Alligator mississippiensis: one gene and its partners. The protein of the gene in region 1 purifies or fractionates together with the protein of each later gene. This does not show direct contact. Links are inferred from orthologs where the notes say so. Each region holds a gene or a part of one and is shown in the gene's direction. Other genes may lie near its edges. The genes, in order: SART3, TUT1 and PPIH.

Evidence for each region.
Region 2: the proteins of SART3 (region 1) and TUT1 purify together in Homo sapiens (co-immunoprecipitation; 4 studies listed by BioGRID and IntAct, counting the BioPlex papers as one, with this or other methods). This does not show direct contact. The link is inferred for Alligator mississippiensis from reciprocal best matches to the Homo sapiens genes SART3 and TUT1.
Region 3: the proteins of SART3 (region 1) and PPIH purify together in Homo sapiens (affinity purification with mass spectrometry; 3 studies listed by BioGRID and IntAct, with this or other methods). This does not show direct contact. The link is inferred for Alligator mississippiensis from reciprocal best matches to the Homo sapiens genes SART3 and PPIH.

What each region holds. Positions count from the first base shown.
Region 1 is NC_081833.1:4,624,566-4,628,552, reverse strand, and holds the start of SART3 (squamous cell carcinoma antigen recognized by T-cells 3), read left to right. Parts: upstream 1-1,477; 5' UTR 1,478-1,503; coding exon 1,504-1,701; intron 1,702-2,728; coding exon 2,729-2,855; intron 2,856-3,565; coding exon 3,566-3,670; intron 3,671-3,987. Other genes in the region: iron-sulfur cluster assembly enzyme ISCU, read right to left, coding at 1-84. UniProt on the Homo sapiens protein: U6 snRNP-binding protein that functions as a recycling factor of the splicing machinery. Promotes the initial reassembly of U4 and U6 snRNPs following their ejection from the spliceosome during its maturation.
Region 2 is NC_081838.1:3,244,418-3,248,404, forward strand, and holds the start of TUT1 (speckle targeted PIP5K1A-regulated poly(A) polymerase), read left to right. Parts: upstream 1-1,649; 5' UTR 1,650-3,204; coding exon 3,205-3,613; intron 3,614-3,881; coding exon 3,882-3,987. Other genes in the region: metastasis-associated protein MTA2, read left to right, coding at 300-454, 770-918, 1,088-1,250. UniProt on the Homo sapiens protein: Poly(A) polymerase that creates the 3'-poly(A) tail of specific pre-mRNAs. Localizes to nuclear speckles together with PIP5K1A and mediates polyadenylation of a select set of mRNAs, such as HMOX1.
Region 3 is NC_081836.1:1,381,906-1,385,892, forward strand, and holds the start of PPIH (peptidyl-prolyl cis-trans isomerase H), read left to right. Parts: upstream 1-1,776; 5' UTR 1,777-1,817; coding exon 1,818-1,883; intron 1,884-1,972; coding exon 1,973-2,037; intron 2,038-2,712; coding exon 2,713-2,736; intron 2,737-2,994; coding exon 2,995-3,039; intron 3,040-3,467; coding exon 3,468-3,510; intron 3,511-3,987. Other genes in the region: CCDC30 (coiled-coil domain-containing protein 30), read left to right, coding at 210-277, 868-1,102. UniProt on the Homo sapiens protein: PPIase that catalyzes the cis-trans isomerization of proline imidic peptide bonds in oligopeptides and may therefore assist protein folding. Participates in pre-mRNA splicing.

The sequences.
Region 1 (3,987 bases):
CGGGTTCTCGTAGTGATCCACCACCTTGCGGTGGTAGCCGCGGGACAGCTGCGCCAGCCGCCCGCCCGTCCGCAGCGCCGCCATCTTGCGCCGCCACTCCCCCTCTGTCACGTGACCCTGAACGCGGCGGCGCCGGCGTCTTCTACGTCCCCGCGCCCGCTACGTCCCCGCGGCGGCTAGCCCCGCCCCCTCACCGTGCGTAATGGCGTCGCCACGTGCCCCTGGTTAACCCTTTGCTGGGCGGTGGGAAACGAGGGTTGAGCCCGGTAGCTGATGATTTGGGGGGGGGGGGGGGGGGTGTTTTGGCGGGTTCCTTTTGCCCCAGGCCTTAGTCCCAAGCTAATCGTTACCCAGTTGAAGGTGGGTGGGTGGCTGGAGGGGCAGAAGGTCATCAGAAATGATATGTTTGCTAACAAATACTATCAGGGCTCGCGGGCAGGAGTGGCGAAGCCCAGCCGTGCGTAGGGGAGAGGGTGAGATGGCCCCTGCGCTGCTGGGCCAACTAGATTTTTGCAAAAAAATTCTTTCCCTGCGAGCTTTCGGGCACCGACATCCTTCGTCAGGCACAGGAGAAAAGATTGCGTTTGCCGATACAAACGGCAGGCCATAGCACCCAACGAGTCCGTTGCTCTGGGTAAAGAGCGGAGATTAGGCTGGGATGCCTGGACAAAAGCTGCATGGGGGCACCCAAAACGCACACCTCCGCCACGGAGACGGAGACCTGACGCTGCCCGACCCAAAGTACACGTCGACACGCCAGCCTGCCAAGCGCCAGCCCCCCAGGCCTTGCGCTAAGGTCACAACCATGAGTTTGGGCAGGGATTTGTGGGCAAAATCCTTTTTGGGTCGCTCCCAAATCTTCACCATGGGGGGAGGGGGGGGGACTCTCCTGGAGAAACTGGTCTGGGCACTACCCCACTTCAAACGTGGGTTGGGCCCATTTTGACAGCAATTAGGAGCAGCTCCACAGCATCTCCAGGGTTGGGGATGGGGGCAGCTTTGTAAACGCAGGGGATCCTGGTGTGTGTCATCCCCCAACAAGGTGCTGCAGCAGTCGGGGGGACGGAGGGTGCACATACAGTGCTGATGCTTGCAAGGAATTGCCTCTGCCCCCAAAACGAGCGGGATGCGCTGAAACAGCTGGAAGCCCACTGCAGCACCAGGCCAGCTGCCTGCATTGCACAACCTGCCACACTCAACATGGCGGCTAAGCCCCGCCCCTCCCTTCCCCAGCTCCAGCCAATCCCGGCGCTGACCTTCTCGAAGGCCCCCGCGCCCTCAGGGGCTACAGGTGGCTGAACAAGTAGCCTGCCAGGATGAAACACAAGAGGAGGCCGCCGGTCCCTTTTGGGAGGCTCTTGTTTTTACAGGAGGGATCGGACGACTCCCGCAGCGGCGGCTCCTTCCCGCTCCCGCCGCCGCCTGCGGCAGCGGGGATCCTGGAGCCATCAGGCGCGCGGCGTGGCAGCCCCGCGCGGGGCAGGCGGCAGGCGGCGGCACAAGATGGCGGCGGCGGCGGGAGCTGAGGAGCCCGCGGCGGCCGCGGCCGAGGAGCAGCAGGAACGGCGGGCTGGCTCCGAGGAGGAGGAGGAGGACGATGAAGACGAGGAAGCTGGCGGCGGCGGCGACTCGGAGTCGTCGGGGGACGGCGAGGATGAGGAGAAGGAGAACGAGGCCGAGATCCAGCGGCTGGAGGAGCAGGTGGGGCCGGGCCGGGCCGGGGGGTGGCGGGTGTCCCCTCCCCTCCCCTCCCCTCCCCCCCCCCACGGCACGCGGTCTCCATGGCAACGCGCCGTAACGGTCGCACGGTCCTCGCGTGGGGGTGGCGGGAGCGCGCGGGCCCTTTCCCCTCCCCCCCACGCCTGAGGCCGACACGGTCGAGGGGGGCGTCCACGACCGCTCGAGGGTGGTAGTTGATCCCGCACGGGGCCGCGACTTCAGCCCTCCTGTCTCCAACGAAGTGTAAAAACGTCGTCTTTTTAGCTCCCCCCGGCTTAGGTGTCACTGTCGGTGGCTTCAGCGGACTGTAAAATCTTTAATCCCGGTGTCAGTGTCGCCGTTGGCGGCCGCGAGGTCATCTTGAATCCTCCCGGTGTAGGTGTCGGCGGCTTCAGCGAACTATAAAACACCGCCTTTGGCCCTCCGGGTTTAGGCGCCGCCGTCGGGGGCTTCGAGGGACTGTAAAACGCGCCCCAGCGTTGAGCTGCAAACGCAGGCGTCGTTCTTCGCTTGGCGATAAAGAACGGTTGTGATCCGACAGATCAGAAACGATCCCTTTTTTGTAAAATTGCTCGTTTTGGCTGGTTTTTGTCGGAGGAGTTGAAGCCCTCTGGTGTTTCTAGCTTACAGACGTTCATTTTTGTAGGTAGAGGTTGTTAAAAACGGGCAGACGCATTCCCCCGTTTACAGTTGAAACGACAGCCGCGGCCGGCGCTCCCGGCAGCTCGGGGAGGCTCGCGAGCCCCCGGTGAGCAAAATCTCCCTGGCGTTAAGCTGAACTGCTCGATCGGAGACCCTGTTTGAACCCGCGGCAGGTTAAGCGTAGAAGCGTTATGAAGATGTCATCGTGTTTATGTCCTTGAAGCACCTGGTATTGCTCCGCGACAGGGCAAGGACAGCAGCGCGCGGGGCCGCCGACACGTTTGTAATCTAGCCGTTCGTCTCCCCGTTTTCTGCTCCAGCGAGTAATGCTTCCTATCTGACGCCTTTTTCGCTTCCTTTCAAAAAGCTTTCGATCAACGCGTTCGACTACAACTGTCACCTGGACCTGATCAAGCTCCTCCGTCAGGAGGGAGAGCTGGTCAAGCTTCGAAGAGCTCGCCAGAAGATGAGCGAACTCTTCCCGCTCACTGAAGGTACGGGAGCTCTTGTCGCTGACGCCGTTCCCTCTGGCTTGATACCAACCCTCCTCCCTCTTCAGAAAATAAACTGTGTGTTGTGTGAAGTGTTGGGGTTCAACTTCATGAAGGGTTCACAAGACCAAATTAGGTAGACACAGTTGACTGCTCTTATGCAAATATTTTAAGCAGTAAAATCAAGTGCTGGGCATGCAGTGGCTAAAACCTTAAAATTTGTCTTTTTTCCTGAATTTACTAGTTTAAGTCGCAGAGAGCCGAAAGACTGATTTCGTTGTTTTGTTTTTGGTACTCGCAGCAGCTGTGTGTTTCCCTGCTTTGCCTTGACAGTGTTGTGGTAGTAGGGGGACCCCTTTTTAGGGACAAATGCAATCGCTCTGGCCAAGTACGTGTTGGAGTACACAGAGGGGCACCAGTTGTGGGATGGCTTCAGTTCAGGGCACAGGGAATTATGGTTCACAGCACAAGGGACCAGCTGTTCTCCTTTTAAATACAAATTTGCCCGTACGTATGGTGTCCAAATGGGTAAAAGCTGGCCAAAGGTTAGCGCAGTTCACTGTAGGTAACTGTCAGGTTTCAAGGCCTGATTTCTTTTAAAAGTAATTCTCTGCTTAGATTCTTTTTCCAGTGACATGGTAACAATCCTGCTTGTTTCTCAGGCTCTGGAATGTCCTTGGTTGATGGGGTCTGAAATGCTTGCTCTCTTACAGAAATCTGGCTGGACTGGTTAAAGGACGAGATCAGAATGGCTTCAGAAAACGCTGATCGAGAGAAGGTGTATGATTTGTTCGAGCGGGCTGTGAAAGACTATATCTGTAAGTTGCAGACACATCCTAAAAGTACATTACGTTATTGTGAACTATTCCTCCTCAATTTTTTTTTCCTGGAAGGAAGAGAGTAGCTGCTTGGAAACCCTATGTAAGGCAGTGAATTGCAGAGTCAGGCTCATACGATTGTAGACTTCAGATAGATGTTGCCAAGCAATTTGCTGCTCTTACAGGCAGGAAACAGTTAACACTGTGTTGTGGCTTTGCATTGGCTGTTTTCTGTGAAGAACTCCCTGCACCTACTGAATCCTGTATCCCATAATGAACTCTCCTTTCCTTGCTTGGGGCAAATTAGTGATTTTAAA
Region 2 (3,987 bases), on another chromosome or scaffold:
ACACGGGAGACTGGGCCAGACAGAGCTAAGGTCTGACCCCGTCTGGCAGAGCATATGCTCTTCTGTATCTCCGGAGCCAGCAGGCACCTCTCGGCCACCTCCTGCTCTGAGACGGGGCCCGGACATGGCCCCGGACTTCTGGCTTCCCCACAGCCAATGCCACCAACTTGGCTTGGGAGTCAGGGGTAGGGCTGGGAACGGGGCACTGGTTGGACCTGGCCTGGCACCTCTTTACTGTCATGTCACTGGGAGGCCTCCACAGGGGTTCTTACAGCCCCCTTTTTTCTTCCTCTACCCAGCGGCCCAGGCCCCGCTGAAGCCCAAGACGCCGCGTGGCACCAAGACACCCATCAACCGGAACCAGATGAGCCAGAGCCGGGGCCTGGCTGGCATCGTGGGCAAGAGGGCCTACGAGGGGGCCAGTGACGCGCACCGCGTGGCCCGGGTACGCAAGGTGGGGGGGCTTTGTCAGGCATCGGGGGGCGCGGGGGGCTGTAGAGGGGTGGGGGCTTGAGGGGGAAATCATAGTGGGGGAAGTGGGGGGAATCGTAGTGGGGGAAGGGCTACCTGGCAATGGAGCAGGGACTGGGAGGGGGTTGCCAGCAGCAGGGTGGGAGGTTCTGGGGTGGGATGGGGAGGGAGTAGTGGGGGCTTTCCTGGTACAGCTGGGGTAGGGGGCTGGGGCAGGATTGGGGGCCAGGGCTGGACTGGGGAGCCAGGGCACAGCTGAGCTTCCCTTCTTCCTACCCCCCCCACGTGGGCGGCGCAGGTGGTGGGGGGTGGCGTCCCCTTCTCAGCCAACGGGCGGCCCCTGAGCTCAGGGCTCCGGGCCAGCGCGCAGCCGGCCGCCAAGCGCCAGAAGCTCAACCCAGCTGATGCCCCCAACCCTGTCGTCTTTGTTGCCACCAAGGACACCAGGTACTGGGGGGTGGGGGTCTGGGAGAGGGGGCTCCAGAGCAGGCTGGAGCCTGGGCCTGCTGTGGGGGGCAGGTGGGAGGACACCAGGGCTGCCCCCAGGGTCTGGGGGTACCCACCTCCCCCCCACTTGTGACCATACTCCCCCCCACCTTCCCCTCCCCCCCTACAGGGCACTGCGCAAAGCCCTGACCCACCTGGAGATGCGGCGAGCTGCCCGCCGGCCCAACCTGCCCCTCAAGATCAAGGCCACACGCCCCACAGTTGCCCCCCTGGCGCCCGTGCCCCCTGCCCGGCCCGCCAGCACCACGGAGCCCATCGTCCTGGAGGACTGAGCCGGGAGGGGGGGGGCCTTTCCTTTTTATATTTTTTTATTTCCATGTATGCTCCCACAACGTGGCTGGGGGGGCCGGGGCCCAGCCTTGGAGGGCGGAGGGGGGGGTCCGGGCCTCTGGGGCTGCCCCCTTCAATGCAGCTACTTCCTGTCTGTGTGACCTACCCCCCCCTTCCCCCCAGGGCCAGAGGGGAGGGCGCCTGCCCGCCCTTCTCTCTCCTCCCCGGGGTGTTTTTGTACCTCGCCCTGTAACCAGTTCTTATAGTGACCAACCGGGAAATAAAACGACACCTTTTCTTCACCCTTTGCCACTGCTGTGGTTTGGGGGGGGTGTTACAATCTCCTTTATGGGGGGAGAGCCAGGCACAGACATACAGCTGCAATCAAGGCCCATGGAGGGGTTTATTGCACAGAGAATGCAGTCAGACCACAACTCTGGGGTCTCTCCATACCCCCTCCTCCCAGTGCCAAGGGCCTGGAGGTGCCTCGTTCCCTGGGGCAGCTCTAGCCTTGCTCCCCTGCCCTGGGTGGAGCTTGTTGGGGTAGCTCCCCACCCCCACACTACTGCACTGGCGCAAGGGCTATGACCCCCATGTCTGGGGGCTCCTGTCCCTCAGCTCCTGGTGGCAGAAGAAGCTGTCGATGAGCTGCTGGCGCTGGCACAGCCCCTCGGGGCAGGGGGGGCAGTGGAAAGGGTTTGAGGGGGATGTGCCTTGGGGGGCCTGCCCTGGAAGCGAGGGTAGGGACAGCCCCTGAGCCACAGCCACGTTGTGCAGGATGCAGCAGGCGAGGAAGATGCTGAAGACCTTTGGGGGCATGTACTGCAGCCCCCCCCGGCCCACCCTAGCGTGCTAGGCACTGGAACTGCCCCTTCAGCCCTCCCCACAGCAGCCCGGGCGGCCACGTGATAGTGCTGCTCCGCTGCTGAACACTGGGCCTCCGCTGGCACCAGCAGCCAGGGCTGCAGTAGGTAGGGTAGCAAATCATACTGTCACCTGCGGAGAGCACGTGCGATGGGGTTAGGGTTCGTAGAGCGTAAGACTGGAAGGGACCTCAGAAGATCGTTGGGTCCGGCCCCCTGCACCAAGCAGGGAAGATAACGGGGGTCAGGTGCCCCAGCAGGGTGACTCCAGTCTTCTCTTGAAGAGGTCCAGGGTGGGGGGTTGCAGTGGGGGCCCCGCCTGTGAAGCAGGCAGTAGGCGTGGTCCCAGTTGGCTCAGGGGGGTGGGGACAGGGCAGGGGCCCAATCCAGGCAGGCCCCGGGGTAAGACAGGGCAGGGGCCCTGCTCCTGGAACAGCCCCATCTGGCTGGAGGGAAAAACAAGGCAGGGACCTGGGAATGCACCTGCTCAGGAGGGGATCCCGAGCTGGCTCAGGCAGGGTATCGCAGGGCAGGGCCCCCGGCATGCCCCCAACCCTCCCCAAGCTGTCTCCCAGCAAAGCCCCCATAACAGGAGCTTCTACCCTGCCACCGGCGCTAGGCCTCGGCGCGGGGAGGGTCTCCCGGCCTCGCCTAGGAGTCCTTTCCCATCCACTGGTGGGAGGGACGGCGGCCTGGCCCTGCTCTGGCACGCAGAGCCCACGGCCCCCTACAAGGGGTGCGGGGCACAGCAGGGTGCCTGAGGTGCCTGGGGCTCGCCCGGCAGCCACCCGCCCCGTCGTGGTGCCCCTCGAAGGGGGGGAGGCCATGGGTGTCCGGCGGCTTCAGGGCCACGTGGGTGCAGCCCAGGGCTCCCCGCACGCCGCGTCGGGAAGCAGACAAAGGCGACGGGCGAGGGCGGCCGTGTCCTGGGACACGCTGGCCTGGCTGGTGCCCGCATCTGCCCCGGCCCCTGCCCGGTAGGTGCCCACGGTGTGGAAGGCGAGGGCGGCCGCCACCTTGACGCCTGCGGGCAGCGCGTGGCCCAGGTCGGCCGCCACGGCTCAGGGGCCAGGGGGACAGCAGGTACAGTGCAATGGAGGCCGGAAGTGGGGGTGCGGTGTTCTCTCTGTCCTTCCCTCCCTCCCTCCCTCCTCTGTGCTCCGGGCGGGCTCCTCGGGGCCGGGATGGGAAGGAGCGGGGGGCACGTTGGCGGGACGGACCATTTCCTGTGGCCCGGGAACGAAGAGTCCTAGGCAGGGCGGGTGGAGTTGAGGGAGCCCTATCGGGGACGGACCACTTCCGGCAGGGAAGGCGCGGGAAACACGACTGTCGGGGGACGCCTATCGCGGACGGGCTACTTCCGGCGGGGAGCGGCTTCCGGGGGAATCTCAGGGACGGACACTTCCGGCCGCGCGGAACCCGCGCCGGAATGGAGCCGGATGTGGAGGCGCTGCCCCGCGGGGGCTTCCGCTGCCGCCTCTGCCACGTGACCGCCGCCAACCGTGAGCGGGGGGCGGGGTTAGTGGGGGGAGGTCAGGGGTCACCACGTGGGGGGTCAGAGGTCACCACGTGGGTCAGGGCGGGGCTGAAACGCTGGCCTGACCTCTGACCTGTAGGGTCAGACTGAGCCCCCCAACCTTTGGCTGCTGACCTCACCCCCTTGCGTCAGAGCACCTTACCTTAGACCCAGGCAGTGACCCCTGACCTCGCTCCCCCTCCCCTGACCCTTGCCCTGTGCCCCTCCCCTGACCCTTGCCCTGCCCCCGGCAGGGCCCAGCCTGGACGACCACCTGCGGGGCCGCAAGCACGGGCGGCTGGCGGGGCTGCGGGCCCAGCGCCAGGCCCAGGCGCAGCGCAGCGTCTTCGTCAGCGGCTT
Region 3 (3,987 bases), on another chromosome or scaffold:
ACCCAGCCAACCCTCTGCACACAAACTTCCTCCGTGCTGTCTCTTTCCTTGGAATTTTCTCCCGTGCATCTGAGATCCCAAGTTTCCCGTCTCTAAATACTGTGTGAAAATATCCCTTTCCTCTCTGGTTTGTTTGCAACGTGTTTATTGCCTTGAGCATGCCCTCCCTGCCTTTTATCAGTTGATTATTGTTCTGCTTCTTTTCCTAGGACTTGAGGAGCGTTGGCTTCTCTGAATGCCAGCTACTGAGTAAAATGTTGCCACTTCCAAACACGAGGTAGGTCCCGTGAGTAAAAAGGCACCAGGTCTGCTTACTAATAGCAGGTCCTGTCAGCACTGGGGAATAGGGAAGCCATGGATTCCTGTTTTCAAAACACAAGTTTCACCCTTTATTTTATTCCCTCGTGTCTTTTGGTCGTGCGGTAGGACGGAGGGGTGGAGCTAACCAGCATCTACTAGCTGCTGCCTCCTTTAGTTTGCAAGTCCCGTGGGGCTTTCTGTGACTGTGCACGGCCCCGAGCTCGATCTTTGACTGGGCCTGCAAGTGCTGCAGCAGCACAGCCGAGCACTAGTAGTTACTGCTGCAGCGAGGGAGCACGACAGACCTCACAGTTAGAGTCTCAGACCTTGCCAACAGGAGGGGGCAGTTAACGGGTCTGAATGGGCATTAGGCTCCTCGGGAGGAAGGCAGCTGAGTGCCCGTGAGGATCTGGGGTTTGGCCTGTCTCTACGTTAGACCTTTCCCGCCCCCGGGGGTAGCAGCACGAAGACCATGTGGCACGCGGGTGTGGCGGCGGTGGGGCCCCGCGAGGACGCAGCTGGAGACGCTGTTTGCAGAGCGAACACGGGGCGGGAATTCTTTTGCAGCTTCTCAGCGGCGGGGCTGTCGGACTCGCTCAGCGTGCTGAGAGCCATTCAAGAAGCCAAGTCCGACGAAGGCGCTGAAAGCCAAAAGTCCTCGTCTTCCTTATCGCCTTCTCAGCCCTCCGAGATGGGCTACCTGAACGTGGCGTCCCCCGGAGACCCCGCCAGCCTGCAGGCGCAGGAGGAGAGGCCGGGTTTCTGCTGCGACGATGTCTATGGCCCCCCGGCAAGGAGCTGAGCTCTCCCTTGCCGCGGGGCACAAGGAGGGGAGGAGCATTCGCCAAATAACGTATTACGTGGATTTTGTGACACCTCTCAACTAAATTATTCGGTGACTGGTTTTCAGCTGTTTGCCCAGCTCAACGTCTTGTCCCAAAGCTGTCGGATTTATTTTTTTTTTTAATCATAAAGTAATTCATTAAAGTGTTATTTTAAAAAATGTTTCTTCTCCGCTTGACGCTGGTTGTCTGGAGGTCCAGGGCGCTTCTAGGGGGTTTCTGAAGCAGAGGCGAGCAGCGGCTCCAGGCTCCTTCCGCACCGGGCCCGGACCCGCGCAGGGCTGCGGGGCGCCCGGCAGGCAGCACGGGTGGGCGGCCGGCCCCAGGCCTCGCTCCCGGCCTCTGGTGCCGCGGTGGCAGCCGCCCCTGCCCCTCGGGCGGCCCGGCAGCCCCAGGAAGGGCCGGGCCGGGCCGGCATGGAGAGCGGCTGCTGGCGGGTCGGGCACGAGCCCGTTGGAGCGCCTGGTGGCCCCGCAGGCAGCTCGGCACCGCCGTCTCCTGGCGGGCCCCGAACCCGCCCCGCCTTCCCCTCCCGCCCTCGCAGCCCGCCGCCTGTCGCAGCACGTGGCGCTGGCCCCGCCCACGGAGGCGGCCGCTCCCGCGCATGCTCCGCAGGGCCGGGGACTTCCGGGCGGAAGTCGCCGCCGTGTTTCCGGTTCCGGGCCGCGGGGCGTCATGTCGGTGCTGGCCTCCAACCCCAACAACCCGGTCGTCTTCTTCGATGTCACCATCGGCGGGCAGGTGCGGGCGGGGCGGCGCGGGGCGCAGGAGGGGGGCGGGGCGGGTGCGGGCGGCGCTGATGCCTCGCCTCTCCCCTCCCCGCCCCGCAGGAGGTGGGCCGCATGAAGATCGAGCTGTTCGCCGACGTGATACCCAAGACGGCCGAGAACTTCAGGTGCGGCGGGGCGGGGCGGGACCGCAGCGCGCCACCCCCCCTCCCCCCCTCCCGCGTTTCCCTGCGGGGGCCCGAGCGCCGGTCCCCGGGCGGTGGCGACCCCGCGGCGGTGCTTGGGGGAGACGTGGCGGCCCCGAGCGCGGTGCTGGGCCCGCGGTGCCCGGTGAGCCAGGCTGGTCGCTGGGTCCGTCCGGGCCCGGCCCAGGCCGCTCTCCGCAGCCAGCAGAGACGTGCGCGTGGCTGGCCGCGTTTCTCGGGGTCGCTCCGAGCCTCCGCGGGCCCGTCCCAAGCGTGCCTCGCGGGAGCGGCAGCTGAATGCCTCGGTCTCCCGTCGGCCTGTCTGACGAGAGGGCGCCCGCCGCTCCCTTCTCGACGGGCGTCACAGCCCCCCCTTCCCACTGCGGGTCTCCAGGGGGTGATGCCCAAATCCACGTTTTTGGCTCTTCCCGTTCTCGGCATCCAACATCTGATCCAGGCTGATGCCGAGAAACAGCCCTTGGGGAGGAAGGGTCGCAGTTGCTGCTGCTCCTGTCAGCAGTGTCACTTGCTGCTCGGAAGGGGAGTCCCCTCGTCCCTCTTCAGTAAAGCAGTCAGAGCAGCGGTGATTGGGTTTGGATTCAAATTCCTCTTTCAGGCGACTCATGTGCTGCGCGCTCTCTTTTCCCCTCTTTCCAGGCAGTTCTGCACGGGTGAATTCAGGTACGTGGGGTCAGCGCACCGCTCCTTTGAAGCGGCATATTGAGGTGTGTCGTGACCAGAAAGCAGAGAAGTCCGATGGTGTTTGTTCCCACCCCCGTGCTGCCTGAATGGCTGTTGCTGCCAGGTGCTGTAGGGCCGTCCCGGGCGCGGGGGGGCCCGTCGGTCCGGCACGCGGGCTCCGGGGTTCTAGCCCGACTGGAAGTGTCGAGCTGCGACGAGCGGCACCTTGCAGTGCTGTGTCCTTGTCTTTTGCTGTAGGAAAGATGGTGTCCCTATAGGTTACAAGGGGAGCACTTTCCACCGGTAAGTCAATTTCCTCTTGTTCAAAACAGCGCGGTGACCTAGACGCAGCCTGGTGCCCGGGTTTGAAAGCAGTCCCTAAAGTAGGAGGCATCCTGTAGTCATCGAGGGATAGGAGATCTGAAGAGTGTTTTCTTTCTAAAGTCTCTGCCCTGCATCTATAGTTTGGGCGACTCTGCCTCTGTGGGCCACTCTTGTACTTGCCGGATAAAAAGTATGTTCTTCTCGGTGCTTATCACCCAGGGCACAGGCAGCGCTGTCCAGCCTTTGTCCAAAGTCAGAGGTCATCCCATGTCGAGTCCATCACCTAGTCACTAGGTGCATTTTATTGTGGCATGGGCTGTTTCTCTGTCGTTTCTGAGATACTAAACTTTGTGGGAAGATGTTTCACAGAGAAGCAGTCGTTTACTTTGTTCTTAATTACTTTTCAGGGTGATAAAGGATTTCATGATCCAGGGAGGCGACTTTGTAAATGTAGGTATTATGAGTTTGTCCGTTTCCTTTCCTTAAAGATGCAGAGTGGTGTTCTTCCCATGGGGCAGTATTTAACCGTTTAACTTATTTTTGGAACCTGTTGCTTAGTGAGCGGGGATATGTAAATGAAAGACGAGGAAAGAGCGAGAGGGCATTGACGGGGGGGAAGGAGGTGGCTGGAGCCCAGAAGCCCTTTCAGCAAAGAGGGGGAATACCTGGTTAGACCCATGGAATATACTCTGGCGATGCCAAAGCCCCCCATGCCCCCACTCTGCAGCATCTCTGCCAGCTTCAGCCTCTGACAGGCGCCTCCCTCACTTGTCATCCCTCATTCTTCTAACCCGAGAGCCATCCTTGTCTTTCCTACTTGCCTTCTGTTTTCGGTGGAACGTGCACCCTGCGCAGCCCGAACTCATCCGTAACTTCATCTGGCGGGTCTTGGAGGTCTGGAATCTACCTGCTTCCCTCGCGCCGTCT